Linked DNA regions of Kluyveromyces lactis. The protein of the gene in region 2 interacts with the protein of the main gene of each other region in a pairwise test. Links are inferred from orthologs where the notes say so. Each region holds a gene or a part of one and is shown on either strand. Other genes may lie near its edges.

Region 1 (2,192 bases), on a different chromosome or scaffold from region 2:
TCAATGGAATATTGTTGGTGGATAGATTTCAGCTAAGAAGTACAAGGAATCTACTACATAACGATGTCGGGGCTGTTAAAGTAATAAACTTCCGTGTAGGAATAGTGAATGATATTGGGTTAGTTTTAAATCAGTTCAAACAAGATGGTTCTGACTATTATATTGAGTTTTATTCCATCTTAACAACGTTAACGGGAGATATCGCACTACTGAGGGGTGAATTCAAAGTTGGCCAACGATTAGGTACTATGAAGATATTAGATAGTTTGAGAACGCAACAATCGGATAACTTTGTTGACCAAATATTGATTACAAACTACTCACTATCCAATAAAAGAGACGCTGGAATGGTAATTCCTGAGGTTTTTAAAATGAATAAAAGATCCAAAACTTAGAAGTCTTTCAACAATGTAAGTCAAAATAATCTATACGTTTACGTGAATAGCAGCTAATATAAACCCTAATTAATATAATGGTAATCCTTGTAGAAGATGTACAACAATCATGAAATAGCAGAAGTAAAAAAAAAATGAGGTGCTGATAATTAACCGCCCCTAATCATACACTTTCTGTGTATGGTGGGGGAGAACCCTTTGGCACATCCTGAGCGTAGTTATTTGGTTCATATCTTAGAGGAATCTGAGTTCTTGGCAATAGAGGATCTTCTACACCAGTGGGTTGATGAGAAACGGTCGTTACCGCAGATGGGCTTCCATATCTTTGTCCGTCATTCCACCCTTGCTCATAATAATAACGTGTTTCGGTATCCGTCCTTAGCGGTGACGTGACGGTAATATAATAAAAAGCATGAATCATTCCAGGGAGGAACCCAAACATAGTTAGCAACACGTTTAATAGTAAGTCACTGGAACATAAACCCGATCTCAATCCCACGGCAATCGGTGGGAATATTATGGCAACAATATAAAGTATCAAATCTGATACAGTACAGCAGATACAGCACAGACACATGTTTCAAAAGCTTTTGATAATACACTGCTGGGAGTATAAGGGAAACCTACGAGGCTCTTCTTCTGTATCCCAATGTTGTGAATTGAGATGATTAATAGGTATGATTCATTGTTCAAATTTTGACAATTATCAACTAAAGAAAACTATGGGAAACGCCATACATATGACAAAAATGATTGAAGCCACATAGACCATTTGTGAATGCTTATACCGAAACAAGTACAGGCTTTTGAAAGCCAGTAGCGAATGTATATCTTGACACCCCTTTGACAAGCTATATCTCGTTATCTAAATCAACATGGAAGGAAAATGAAGTCACATGGTAAATTAAGTATACACGTACATCTTAGAATTTTTGTTTTTCTGTAGTGATATGCTTTGGATGATAGTTGATTGATTAATCGCCTGATGAGGGATCGTTGATATCAAACAATATAACGAATATAATATAATAATCTATTTAGTTAGATCGTTGAGTTTATGCGTCCTTGCTCTTCTTTCTCTTGTTGCATCCAACCTCCCCAAGAGGTCGCAACATAGCTCAGCCTTTTATACTCGACTTATATACTCGGATGGTCGTCAGACTTCGTCATGGCAACTCGTTGCCTCCATGCCCTTGTAGGTCCTGTGCAGCTACCGTCCTCCACGCGCACTCAAGACCATCACGTGACAGTCTATGATCCATCTATGCCATCCCTCTGGATACCACAGGATCCATATGCCCAGTCACTGACGTCTTGGAACTCTGCCGTGTGCTGGCTAGCCCACATGACCTCTCGTCTGGCTTGTCCTCAGTCTATATTACGACATTTCCAACAAATTTGGTTCCTTGGCCCAGTTGGTTAAGGCACCGTGCTAATAACGCGGGGATCAGCGGTTCGATCCCGCTAGGAACCATTATTTTTATCGCTCTCTATTTTTGGCTCAGTTTATTATTTGACAAGTACTAGTGTCTGTGGAAAGCCTAATATATAAGCCTCGCGGAAACAGCAGCCGAGAAAACGCAGTTGGCTTGCAACTATTTTTTCATCTTTCCATAAATTACGCTAGTTAGTACAATATTGTTCAAAATCTCTGCTATTCTTCTGAGACGAGACTTGGTTACACATATATATGTATTTGGGGTATCTATATTGAATCACCTTCTCTTTTTGAAACCGGAGTAGGAGTTATACTTTCTATATCTATCGTTTGAGGGTTGATATGAGCTGCTCCCATAA
Region 2 (4,049 bases):
TGTTAAGATAACTGCTGTAATGTTAACGGTAAGCTGGAATTGGATGAACTTCTTTATGGACACAGAAACACATCTACCCCACTTAATTGCATTAACAATAGCGGTGAAATCATCTGTCATTAAGATAATATCAGATGCTTCTCTGGCCACTTCTGTACCAGATATACCCATTGAAAATCCGACATCGGCCAACTTTAGAGCAGGGGCATCGTTTGTACCATCACCAGTAACAGCAACAACTTCGCCCATTTTTTTCAAAGTTTCAACCAAAATTCGTTTATCCTCAGGGGAAGATCTTGCAAGCACTCTAAGTTTTGGAATCACACGCAACATTTTTTTATATGGTAGCTTTCTAAATGTCGGTCCTTCCATTGCACATTCTGGATCGTTGTAACCCTCTTCGGAAAGAATATTACAGTTTCTTGAGATGGCTCTTGCAGTTAAAATATTGTCACCAGTGACCATACGAACAGTAACACCTGCTCTTTGACATTGTTCCACGGATTCCTTAACACCTTCACGTAGTGGATCTTGTAGACCGACCATAGCATCAAGGGTCATGCCTTCGCTGGACAAGTTCTTGTGGTCCAACTCGTGACCCATAACCAGATCTGGTGAAGCTATCGAGGGGTCCGTGCTATCTGCAAATTCCTTGGGAGGCCATTCTTTGAAATCTCTGTGAACTAGAGAGATTGTTCTGAGCGCATGAGAGGCCATATCTTGAATCTTTTTGAAGGACTCATCATATAAATCCTGATTCATTGGTACTATTGAGTTGTCGGAGTTTCTCTGGTTAGAACATACCTTCAATAATATTTCGGCGGCACCTTTGGCATAAAATCTATACCCTTTGTTATCCGCTAACTGAACAGCAATAGCTCCCCATTTTCTAGAACTTTCAAAAGGAATGACCTGCACCACCTTATCAATACCTAAATCTGAAGGTTTAGTTCTAAGTTTATGCACGTCTTTCATCCCTAAGGATTTCTGAGCAAATGCCAACAATGCCGTTTCAGTTTTAGAACCGAGAAATTGTTCATCATTTTCTTTCATTGCATCGGCAATCAATTGTGAAGTCCTGTTGTTTCTACTCCAAGGGAACAGACTTTTTCTGCTTTTATGATAAGGGTTTTCATCCACATCCTTATCTTTATGTTGACTTTCTTTATTCTCAAATGCTGTCGAGTTCAATGAGATGTTTGACAAGATATCAGTTAGAAGGCTTGCATCACAATTTGAACGTAAAACGACAGCAGACTTGATTTCTTTGTTCTCAGCGTGAGTTGTATCATCGAAGCCCAAGTTACCAGCAAACCCTTTTACCACTGTCATCCTATTTTCTGTCAAAGTACCGGTTTTATCTGAGCAAATGGCAGTTGCAGACCCCATTGTCTCACATGCTCTTAGAACTCTAACCAAGTTCCCGTCCTTGGTCATTCTTGTTGTAGCAAAGGCTAATGCCAAGGTAACAGCAAGTGGTAAACCCTCTGGAACAGCAACCACGATAACCGTAACAGCAGTGATGAAAATGTTCATAAACTTGGAACCTTTCTGAGCAGGCGGTAGATCATGGTATTTTTTCCCGTTAGGTAAGTAAGTGAGGAATCTAATGAAGAGAATGATGAAAAGGACAAGTGCTGCCATACAACCATAAATGGATATATTATCAGCTAAATTGGATAATCTTTCCTGTAAAGGAGTGGATTCTGATTCCGTCTTCAAAGCCATCATAATCCTACCATTAACAGAGTTTTCACCAACGGATGTGATAACAGCATTACCAATACCGGATAGCAGTTTGGATCCGGAAATCAATAGTGGATCTGGAACCTTTTCACCTACACCGTGACTACCAATATCGATAGTGGGATCCTTCTCAAAAATCTGCTTGTACTTTTCCAACGCAGGTTTCAATGCTACCTTCTTTATGGTGTCCGATTCACCAGTTAGTGCGGATTCATCGCATTCGCAGGATCCTGAGATTAATACAGCGTCCGCAGGCACCACATCACCTGTTTGAAGCGATATTACATCTCCCACCAATAAGTCATGGATAGAAATAAGATGTTCATCACCGTTTCTTATCACAACCACATCTCTATCATCTTTCTTTTTGTTTAGTTTTGCAAACTGTAACTCTTTTTGATAATCGTTAATTGCACCCACTAATACCACAACAACAACAGCAATCATAATAGCCACACCTTCGACCCATTCAACTTTAACGATTTCATTACCCTCAGGATCGTATTCTGGAGGTTGACCCAAAGTCTCATAAAGACCCAAAGCGAAAGAAATCACTGCAGCAACAGTAAGCAAAATCATAGTCTTGTCGTTGAATGCTTCCCACACAAGTCGTAGGAAAGATTTCCCTTTCCGTTCAGGAATTCTATTCAATCCATACACCTGAGTTCTCTCTAGGGACTCGATATCCTCGTCTTGTATAGTAAGACCATTGGTACGATCCGTTTGCAAATAAGTATACAAATTAGATTCGTCATTATCGAATACGTTATTGAAGGCAGTTAGTGATTTGGGATCGTGTAATTCCGAAAGCTGAGATGGAGCCAACTTGAAACTCGACGCCTTGGTCATTCTATTCACAGACATCATGGTAATTTGAGTGTCGTGATGTTTTAAAGGTTTAACGGCACCTATTGAGGTGGATGTAACCCCTTTGTTGAGAGGTCTAGTTTGCTCTTCAGTCTCTACAGTTTTATTCTCATCTTTCTTACTCTGTAACCCAACAAAACTTTCCCTACCGGTAAGAGAAGGGCTGTGTGCTTCATCAACGCCTTCATTCAAAGAGCTCATACTCAAGTCGCTAAAGAAATAACCTGTCAGTTAGCAGGGTAGGAGAGAGCACCACAGGGTTAATATGAATTGCCCTTTCTAAAAACTTTAACACAAAAAAGTGAGAACTTTCTTCTGAATATTATAATCAAATCAACAATTAGCACGCCAAGGAATGTATTCTGTAAGCCAATTCTTGTTCTTTTTCCTTTCTTAATAACGATTTCTTCTTTTGTTAGTTTTCCAGTGCCAATGAAAGCCTTTAATGCGTGGAATTAATGATTCAAGTTAATCTATATATATGACAAACCCATTCAGCAAACATAAAACGATAAAAGCATAAAAATGTCCGGAAAGCTTATGATTACGATGAATTAGGATAAGGATAAAGTTGAGGAAGGGTCGCAGCCTTGAAAAGATGCATTCTATTAGTCTTGATCTTTCGGTTTTCTGTTTTTTTGTTTTTTTTCCTGTTACAAACTTTCGGGGCTTAGTAGTCTATATACATTTCGTAATCATACAGAATATGCAACTACGGTACCTACTTAATCAGATGTAGTAATTGGCAGCTGATTTTTCCAGCCTGGGAATATATGGATGATGAAAAATTGGTGTGATAGTGCCCTGCATATGGATATTGGATAAATGGTTCTAGAGTGTCAATTTCCCACAGGGTGGCTGGCCATCTCGCTTACTTTAATGATTCCACAGTGGTAATGAAGGGGAAAAAAAAAGAGAATGGACCCTTACTCAATTGGAATTGAGGCTAGGCTTAGTGTTTGATATCTGATTCTGGATATAACGAGATTACCCCCCGCAAAGGAAGTGAGAGAGGCGGAAGAAGCCAGCCGAATGTGGTATACGTACCCACGGTATCGCAAGCTATCTTGCTAAGCCACATCAAAAGAGTCTGCACAGTATCATTTTCCATGTAGCTGACGGAAGTTTTTTTGTCTGGTCTGTAGCCTATGTGTTCTACAATTGATTTACAGTTTCACCGGACTATGTCACTTGCTAGTTGCTACTGTGTCGCTTGTGAATCGCCCTTTCCGGTCTAGCTTTGTTAAAAATCGCATCAACTTTTTTCTTTTTTTCGCTCATCGGAATAATTAAGGCCAGTAGACAGCATTTGGTTTGAACAGTATACATACATGCATTCAAGCAAACAGCCAGGCAGCTCATCGCTCATGGACCAACTGTAAACCTTCGGTACCTATTTAAAAGATAAGCGGGAAATCGTAGCAGTGTCACATGGA
Region 3 (2,704 bases), on a different chromosome or scaffold from region 2:
GTCAATCTCTAGATTCGGATTACAGACTGGAGATAACTATTTGATGCTCCATTTCCTTTTAGAGGGATACGACCTAGAGCTAATCTGGAAGCTAGCAAACCTGCTACAACTGACTTGTTTCAACTCAATTACAAGGGATAAATACGATAATCGTATAATGAACAGGGATGGTGTAGTCGGGAGATACATGAGAAAGGATTCAGCCTTTGCGGAAGAATTCGACTCAAGGTACTTGAACTATATGACATTCTGGAACTGTCTGGCTCGAGTAGATCACGATCTATTTATATGGATCATGGATATAATTGTAGCAGAGAACGCCAGAGCATCACGCTGGACAGAAGAGTGGCAACATCAGCTACGGAATACTGATTGGGACACCTTTAAAGAAAAGTATATCGTTGTGAATTATAAAGTCTTGTGCTCTCTCTCTTTAAACGTTTTGCTAAGGTACCATTTTGGCTGGAACAATCTACTTCATCTAGACGAACTACCACCGTCATTCCAATTAGTAAAACCAGTTGACAATCGCGAACCGGTGAGTGACCAATATTTGGTATTTATTAAGAAATGGAATCACTATTATGCCAAATTCTAGTATGACACTGGAAAGCCGTGCGAACGTGACACTACAGCAAAAGCTTTCACAACCATGCTATGTATAAGAAGCTATATATATACACAAACACCAAACATCGAACACAATTACGCACACGTTGTATTATATCATTGTTGAGTTCTTCTTTTTTCTTACATATAATTGGTGTCGTTCCATGCATGAAAATTTAGAATCCCTTTATGAGTCCATGAAAAGAGCGTGAAATTCATCGTAAATAAATAATTTCACAGCAAAATAATTGTCCTCCAAAATGACGTCCTATCTTACAAACATTATATAAGGATCATGTTCTACTATCATGGGAGGTATAACTAGGGCGCTCCCTCTATATTACCACTATTATTCTCATCACTACCAAGAAAGGCATATGACTCGAAAGTTTTAATTGTTATGAAGAATAGAAAGATAAAGGAAGGATCTTCAAAAAAAATTTGGAATTTACATATATGGTTTGATATGTAACAAGGAAGAGGAACAAGAAGACAAGACTTAGAATATTCGAGGATAAAGGGCTGTAACATTAAGAACAGCCTTTTTTAAGTGACAATACAGGAAAACTGATAACATGAGTGATCCGACCTGGTGCGATAAATCGCTATGGCCTCAAATTAGTGTTGCTTCAGGAGGGATTTCGTTTTTAACTTCGTTCGTCGCTCAAATCCCACAACTGATAGAAACTTATCGTGACAAGAGTGTTGAAGGGTTATCACCAGGATTTCTATTATGCTGGCTTTTCGGGGATATAACCAGTTTAATTGGAGCTGTACTTACTCATCAACTCCCATTCCAGATTCTTTTGGCAGTTTATTATTTGTCTAATGACATGTTGATATGTGGTCAATACTATTACTACGGTATTTTACACCGGAATCAGCTAGCGACTCCAGGCCATGAGTCTGCTACTTTAGAAGAACGAACACGTTTGGTACGAAGCCGTGGTTCAAACCCCAGTATTCAATTGCAACGCGGGTTCAAATGGTGGATCTTATCATTCTTCGTCAGTCAGCCTGGAACTGTTCAAGGGTTCCCGATGCCTGTCGTGTCCATTGCTCAAGCCATTACTGGATCCGAAACAGTTTTTCCGTTTAGTAAGCACCGTCCGTCGCCCGTTGTGCCTATTGAACCACCCCATACAAGCTTTATTGGTCAATTGGCATCCTGGGTCGGAGCAATGTCCTATTTCTGTGCCAGAATTCCACAATTGATCAAGAATTACAAAAGGAAGAGTACTGATGGGCTTTCACCCCTCCTCTTTATAAGTACGTTAATTGCAAATGTCACATACACACTATCCATTTTCACCAGTTGCTCTTATCTCACAGATGAGGACAAGCTAGGTTTCGTACTCAATGCATTACCATTTATCGTGGGGAGCGCAGGCACTGTAGTGTTCGATTTGATCTACTTCTACCAACACTACGTTTTGTACGCGGAAGACTACAACATTAGAAGACTTGAATCTGACGAGTTCACTCCATTGATGAATGACGGAACGGTTTCCCCCCTATCAACCAATTCCTATTAACAATTTCTGTGTTCTTCCCCACACCAATGTGCACATATACGTATATATTCACAGAATAATTATATGTAATCATTTCTCGAGCTTGAAACTTCGAAAACACCGGCACTACTGACCGGTTTCTCAATGCCCTGCTTTGAATATGGGACCGATCATGTCATTTGTCATGGAGCACACCAGTCCGTGGCACAGCGTGACTACTCCATGCCCCTGGACTGAACCACTGCCTTTTCAACAACGGAATAACACCGTGTAATAAGAGGGCGAAAAGTATCGTAAAATATCGACACCGGGACTTACGTTCAAGAGCATCGGATAAATGAGGGAACAACCGTTACTCACATAACAATTATTGTTGCTACTGTGTCTTCTTCTGTGTTGCCTTTTTTTTCTTTTACTCGTTTCTTAGCAAATCGTAGCTCGCAACATAGCAATATCAGCACTAGCATCCGGAATCAAGGTTCCATTATGTGGGAAAGAGCGAAGGCAAATTAATACAGTGTGGCTTGATTGGGAAGTCACTGCACGCACTCGTCTTTCAGCTGGAATAGCAATATTGTGTA
Region 4 (3,365 bases), on a different chromosome or scaffold from region 2:
TCCACCCTTTGTCAAAGTCACAGGCAATACACACTGAGTGAGACATTAAACCTGCTGTGTGCACAGATATTATAGTTATGAAGTGAAATCTTTGATTTTGTATAACAGCGGCATGTACATCGGGTTTTCACTGAGTGAAGCTGAAGTTAGAAACAAGTGAACCGCTTTCGGTGTTTATTGTAATATATACTGTCCCGCTACCCCAGATTTTGGTGATCATATCTTTATTTTTTGCTCATTTTTTTTTGGCCGAATTGAAGGACTTTTCGAATTTAAGTACAAAAGGGAACATTGTATTCAAACAAACGACAGAATATGCCAAAAAGAAATATGTAAGTAATCATGCAGCAGCCCACATTGACATGCCGTCACCTTTAAAAACAGTCAATACTTGTTATAATCCAACGTAATGTGTTATATTACAACAGCAATTTCTAAATAGTATATAGTATTTCTCTTAAGTAACTTTTCCAAATGGAGCAACTGCGTACGCAAGAAAATGATTCGTTTACATGCAACTTTGAAGAATAATAGCTAACTATTTCATCACTGATAACCTTGAGCAGGCGAATTAGAATCTAACAGGAGGCTAGAGCTATTGTGAGTATCCGATGAAGCTCTCGGAATATCAGGCAAGTTTTTGGTAGTGGAAGATGAGTTCCAGCCACTCGTGGATGATTGAGATTTGAGTGCAAGAGACTTTTCAATAATAGATAATCTTTTGTTCATTCTCCTTCTTTGTAGACTGACAGGCAAAAATGGAATATATCCATGTTTCTCTTCGAGCATCATTAGCTTTATAACAGCGATAACAATTAACCAGTACATAATATAACTGCTAACTGAACCATAGGTAGCTGAGTTAGTCCATCCAAAAATGGCGGTCAAAATCATCCAAAATCCATCCCTTTCACCGTTACAACAGTTAACATGCCATACCGAACGCGAGATATCATAAGAACCTGGACCGTTTCCAACTTCGCTCATATCTTGACCGTTACAAGCATCAACATACTTCTGAAGTTCAAACTGCCATACACCCTTGGAGAATAATCCGCCGGCAATAAGATATAGGAAACATGTTGTTACCACAAGGCAAATTTGCAATGAAAACGACTTTGAGTATTTGAAGAAGAATACACCGAAAATTGCCGAGATCGCCGTAGCAGAAAGCATCGATAGTGGAATAGAGGTTAATGGACTATCGATACCGATACCACCAATGAAGACGACAGCCTCTAGCCCTTCTCTCAAAGAAGTAACAAATGGTAGGATGAATAATGAGTATTTCTCGCTGAAACTTTTAGCTTTGCTTTCGCCATTTTCCATCGGAAGTAATTTGTCTGAGTAAATGATGGATGCCAATTTAACTCTGAACTTCTCTCTAAGTTTACCCATTCTTAAGAAGAACAATCCCATAACTGAAATGATGACAGACGCAATAACGCTTAAAACACCTTCATAATAATGTTCACTCATAGACCACAAATCCGTGCCAACATAATAAAATGCCACAATAAATCCACCACCAATAAACATACATGCCAAAAGGCCTAACAAACCTCCAGAAATGATTTGAAGTTTTAGTTTTTTATATAACTGCTGGTTATCAACTTCTAGACCTAGATTTGGAGAATCGGAGTCATTAACTCTCAATAATAAATCTGAAGCTTCTTCCTCTTGAATGGTAACCGGGGCAGCATTTTTTGAAGACTCTGTATCGGATTCAGCGGTGGTATCATGCGAGAATAAGGCTTGTTTGACGATTGTCAACAAGATGGAAACGATTATGATGATCTCTAACGACTCTCTCAAGAAGATGAAAAAAATTTGAAACGAGAAATAATTCTCAAAACTTGACTTTGACATCTTGAATAAAAGATCCTTTATACTAGCTTATAAGTTTCGTCGCTTACGTGGATGTTGTCAACCAGAACCAGTTTATAGCCCGTTATCAAATTTCTATAATGATTCAATCTCAAATGTAATAATAGTATTTCTTTCCAGTCTTCAATTGTATTTTTTGCACCCCATTCAAGAGCCAGGACAAAAACGACCTTGATCACGTGATACAATCGTTCTCCCGGGTAATGAAGATACGTTAAACTTAACAATAGGTTGGTACTGCATATTAACATACAGTCGTGAAACATTCTAGAATATCGGACAGTTTCAATCCGTTTCACTACTGCTTATACCTTAATATCATATTCTGCCAGGTGTTTTTCGCTGGAACAAAGATAGAAGCAGTCGAGTAGTATGTATTCTAATGCGAATTGCATTAGATGCTTATATGTCACATTATATATACACAACATTCATAAAACATTTAAGAGCTGGAAAATCCAATGCTACCCTAACTTGAGTATTTACACAATACGTTAGGAGCACTTATTCGAATAGTTTTATTTTAGCGTAGAGCTTTTTCCATGACTCATTAACTGAACCTTTTCCAACTTGTGTAAATGTTTGACGGAGAATGCAAACAGATATGCCATTAGAATAACCCCCAATGTCGATACCACGGGGAATCCAACGTTACCTTCCTCTATAAAGTTCTCTAAGTTCATACCGTAGATTGAGGCAATAAAAATAGAACCGGCTAACGAGAGTAAACCAATACTGAAACGCAATCCAAGTAACATCAATTGATTTCTATTTGAATCAAGAATGATATTGATTATTTCTTCTGTAGTTTTGATATTGGACATTGTATTTCCTACAGTTTGAACAATTTCATCGACATGATTGTAATAAGTTTCTAAAAGCATTTCAATTTCTGCATGATCATGCTCTTCTCTAGGCTTCCCTAATTGTTTCTCAGTCAAGTACATTTCACACAAGACATCATCTTGCTCTAATAGTTCTTCAATCATTTCTCTCATCAAGAAAGATTTTTTGTGAAAGACGCTAAGTTTCTTATTTTGAATCAAAAGATACCGTAGCTTATCTCTAGTAATACTATATTCTAAGTCTTGCAAAATACCCGTTGAAACATTCAGGTGAACCTTGAGCTCTGCGTTAAGGTTAGATATAGCCGAAATAAAAATGGACTCTACTGCTCTAAACTCGTAAGGCAAAGGATCTTTATTCACAACATCTGGTACCTCAAAACCGCTTCTATTTTGTAATCTCAGTTGTAAATCCGCAATGAAATTCTGTTGAGAAACCGAATCCAATTTTATACCCATCGAATCGAAAAGAATTAACATGTCTGATTTTACCAAAGCCCTAATGTTCAATATACTAACCAAAATGCTATTCTCACGCACAAGAACACTGGGAACCAAGTCATTTCTCCTCGATTTTTCAACCTTTCGCAAGTCTCGGGGTAGGAGTCCATGTGTGTGTATGAGCTCATCTCT

Evidence for each region.
Region 1: the proteins of PMC1 (region 2) and SNA4 interact in a protein complementation assay, tested with the Saccharomyces cerevisiae proteins (2 studies listed by BioGRID). The link is inferred for Kluyveromyces lactis from reciprocal best matches to the Saccharomyces cerevisiae genes PMC1 and SNA4.
Region 3: the proteins of PMC1 (region 2) and YPQ2 interact in a protein complementation assay, tested with the Saccharomyces cerevisiae proteins (2 studies listed by BioGRID). The link is inferred for Kluyveromyces lactis from reciprocal best matches to the Saccharomyces cerevisiae genes PMC1 and YPQ2.
Region 4: the proteins of PMC1 (region 2) and FTH1 interact in binary tests that used the Saccharomyces cerevisiae proteins (3 or more experiments, as listed by UniProt). The link is inferred for Kluyveromyces lactis from reciprocal best matches to the Saccharomyces cerevisiae genes PMC1 and FTH1.

The regions. Positions count from the first base shown.
Region 1 is NC_006042.1:563,895-566,086, forward strand, and holds SNA4 (Sna4p), read right to left. Parts: upstream 973-2,192; coding exon 559-972; downstream 1-558. Other genes in the region: GID12 (Gid12p), read left to right, coding at 1-395; KLLA0_F05896g (zinc finger CCHC domain-containing protein), read right to left, coding at 2,111-2,192.
Region 2 is NC_006037.1:780,555-784,603, forward strand, and holds the start of PMC1 (calcium-transporting ATPase PMC1), read right to left. Parts: upstream 2,815-4,049; coding exon 1-2,814. Other genes in the region: tRNA splicing endonuclease subunit SEN34, read left to right, coding at 4,045-4,049. UniProt on the Saccharomyces cerevisiae protein: This magnesium-dependent enzyme catalyzes the hydrolysis of ATP coupled with the transport of calcium. Transports the calcium to the vacuole and participates in the control of the cytosolic free calcium.
Region 3 is NC_006041.1:1,930,498-1,933,201, reverse strand, and holds YPQ2 (Ypq2p), read left to right. Parts: upstream 1-1,184; coding exon 1,185-2,144; downstream 2,145-2,704. Other genes in the region: KLLA0_E21671g (uncharacterized protein), read left to right, coding at 1-598. UniProt on the Saccharomyces cerevisiae protein: Amino acid transporter that moves arginine across the vacuolar membrane. Active during nitrogen starvation when it exports stored vacuolar arginine to the cytosol, for use as a nitrogen source.
Region 4 is NC_006042.1:2,588,507-2,591,871, reverse strand, and holds FTH1 (Fth1p), read right to left. Parts: upstream 1,870-3,365; coding exon 547-1,869; downstream 1-546. Other genes in the region: MFM1 (Mfm1p), read right to left, coding at 2,406-3,365. UniProt on the Saccharomyces cerevisiae protein: High affinity iron transporter probably involved in transport of intravacuolar stores of iron.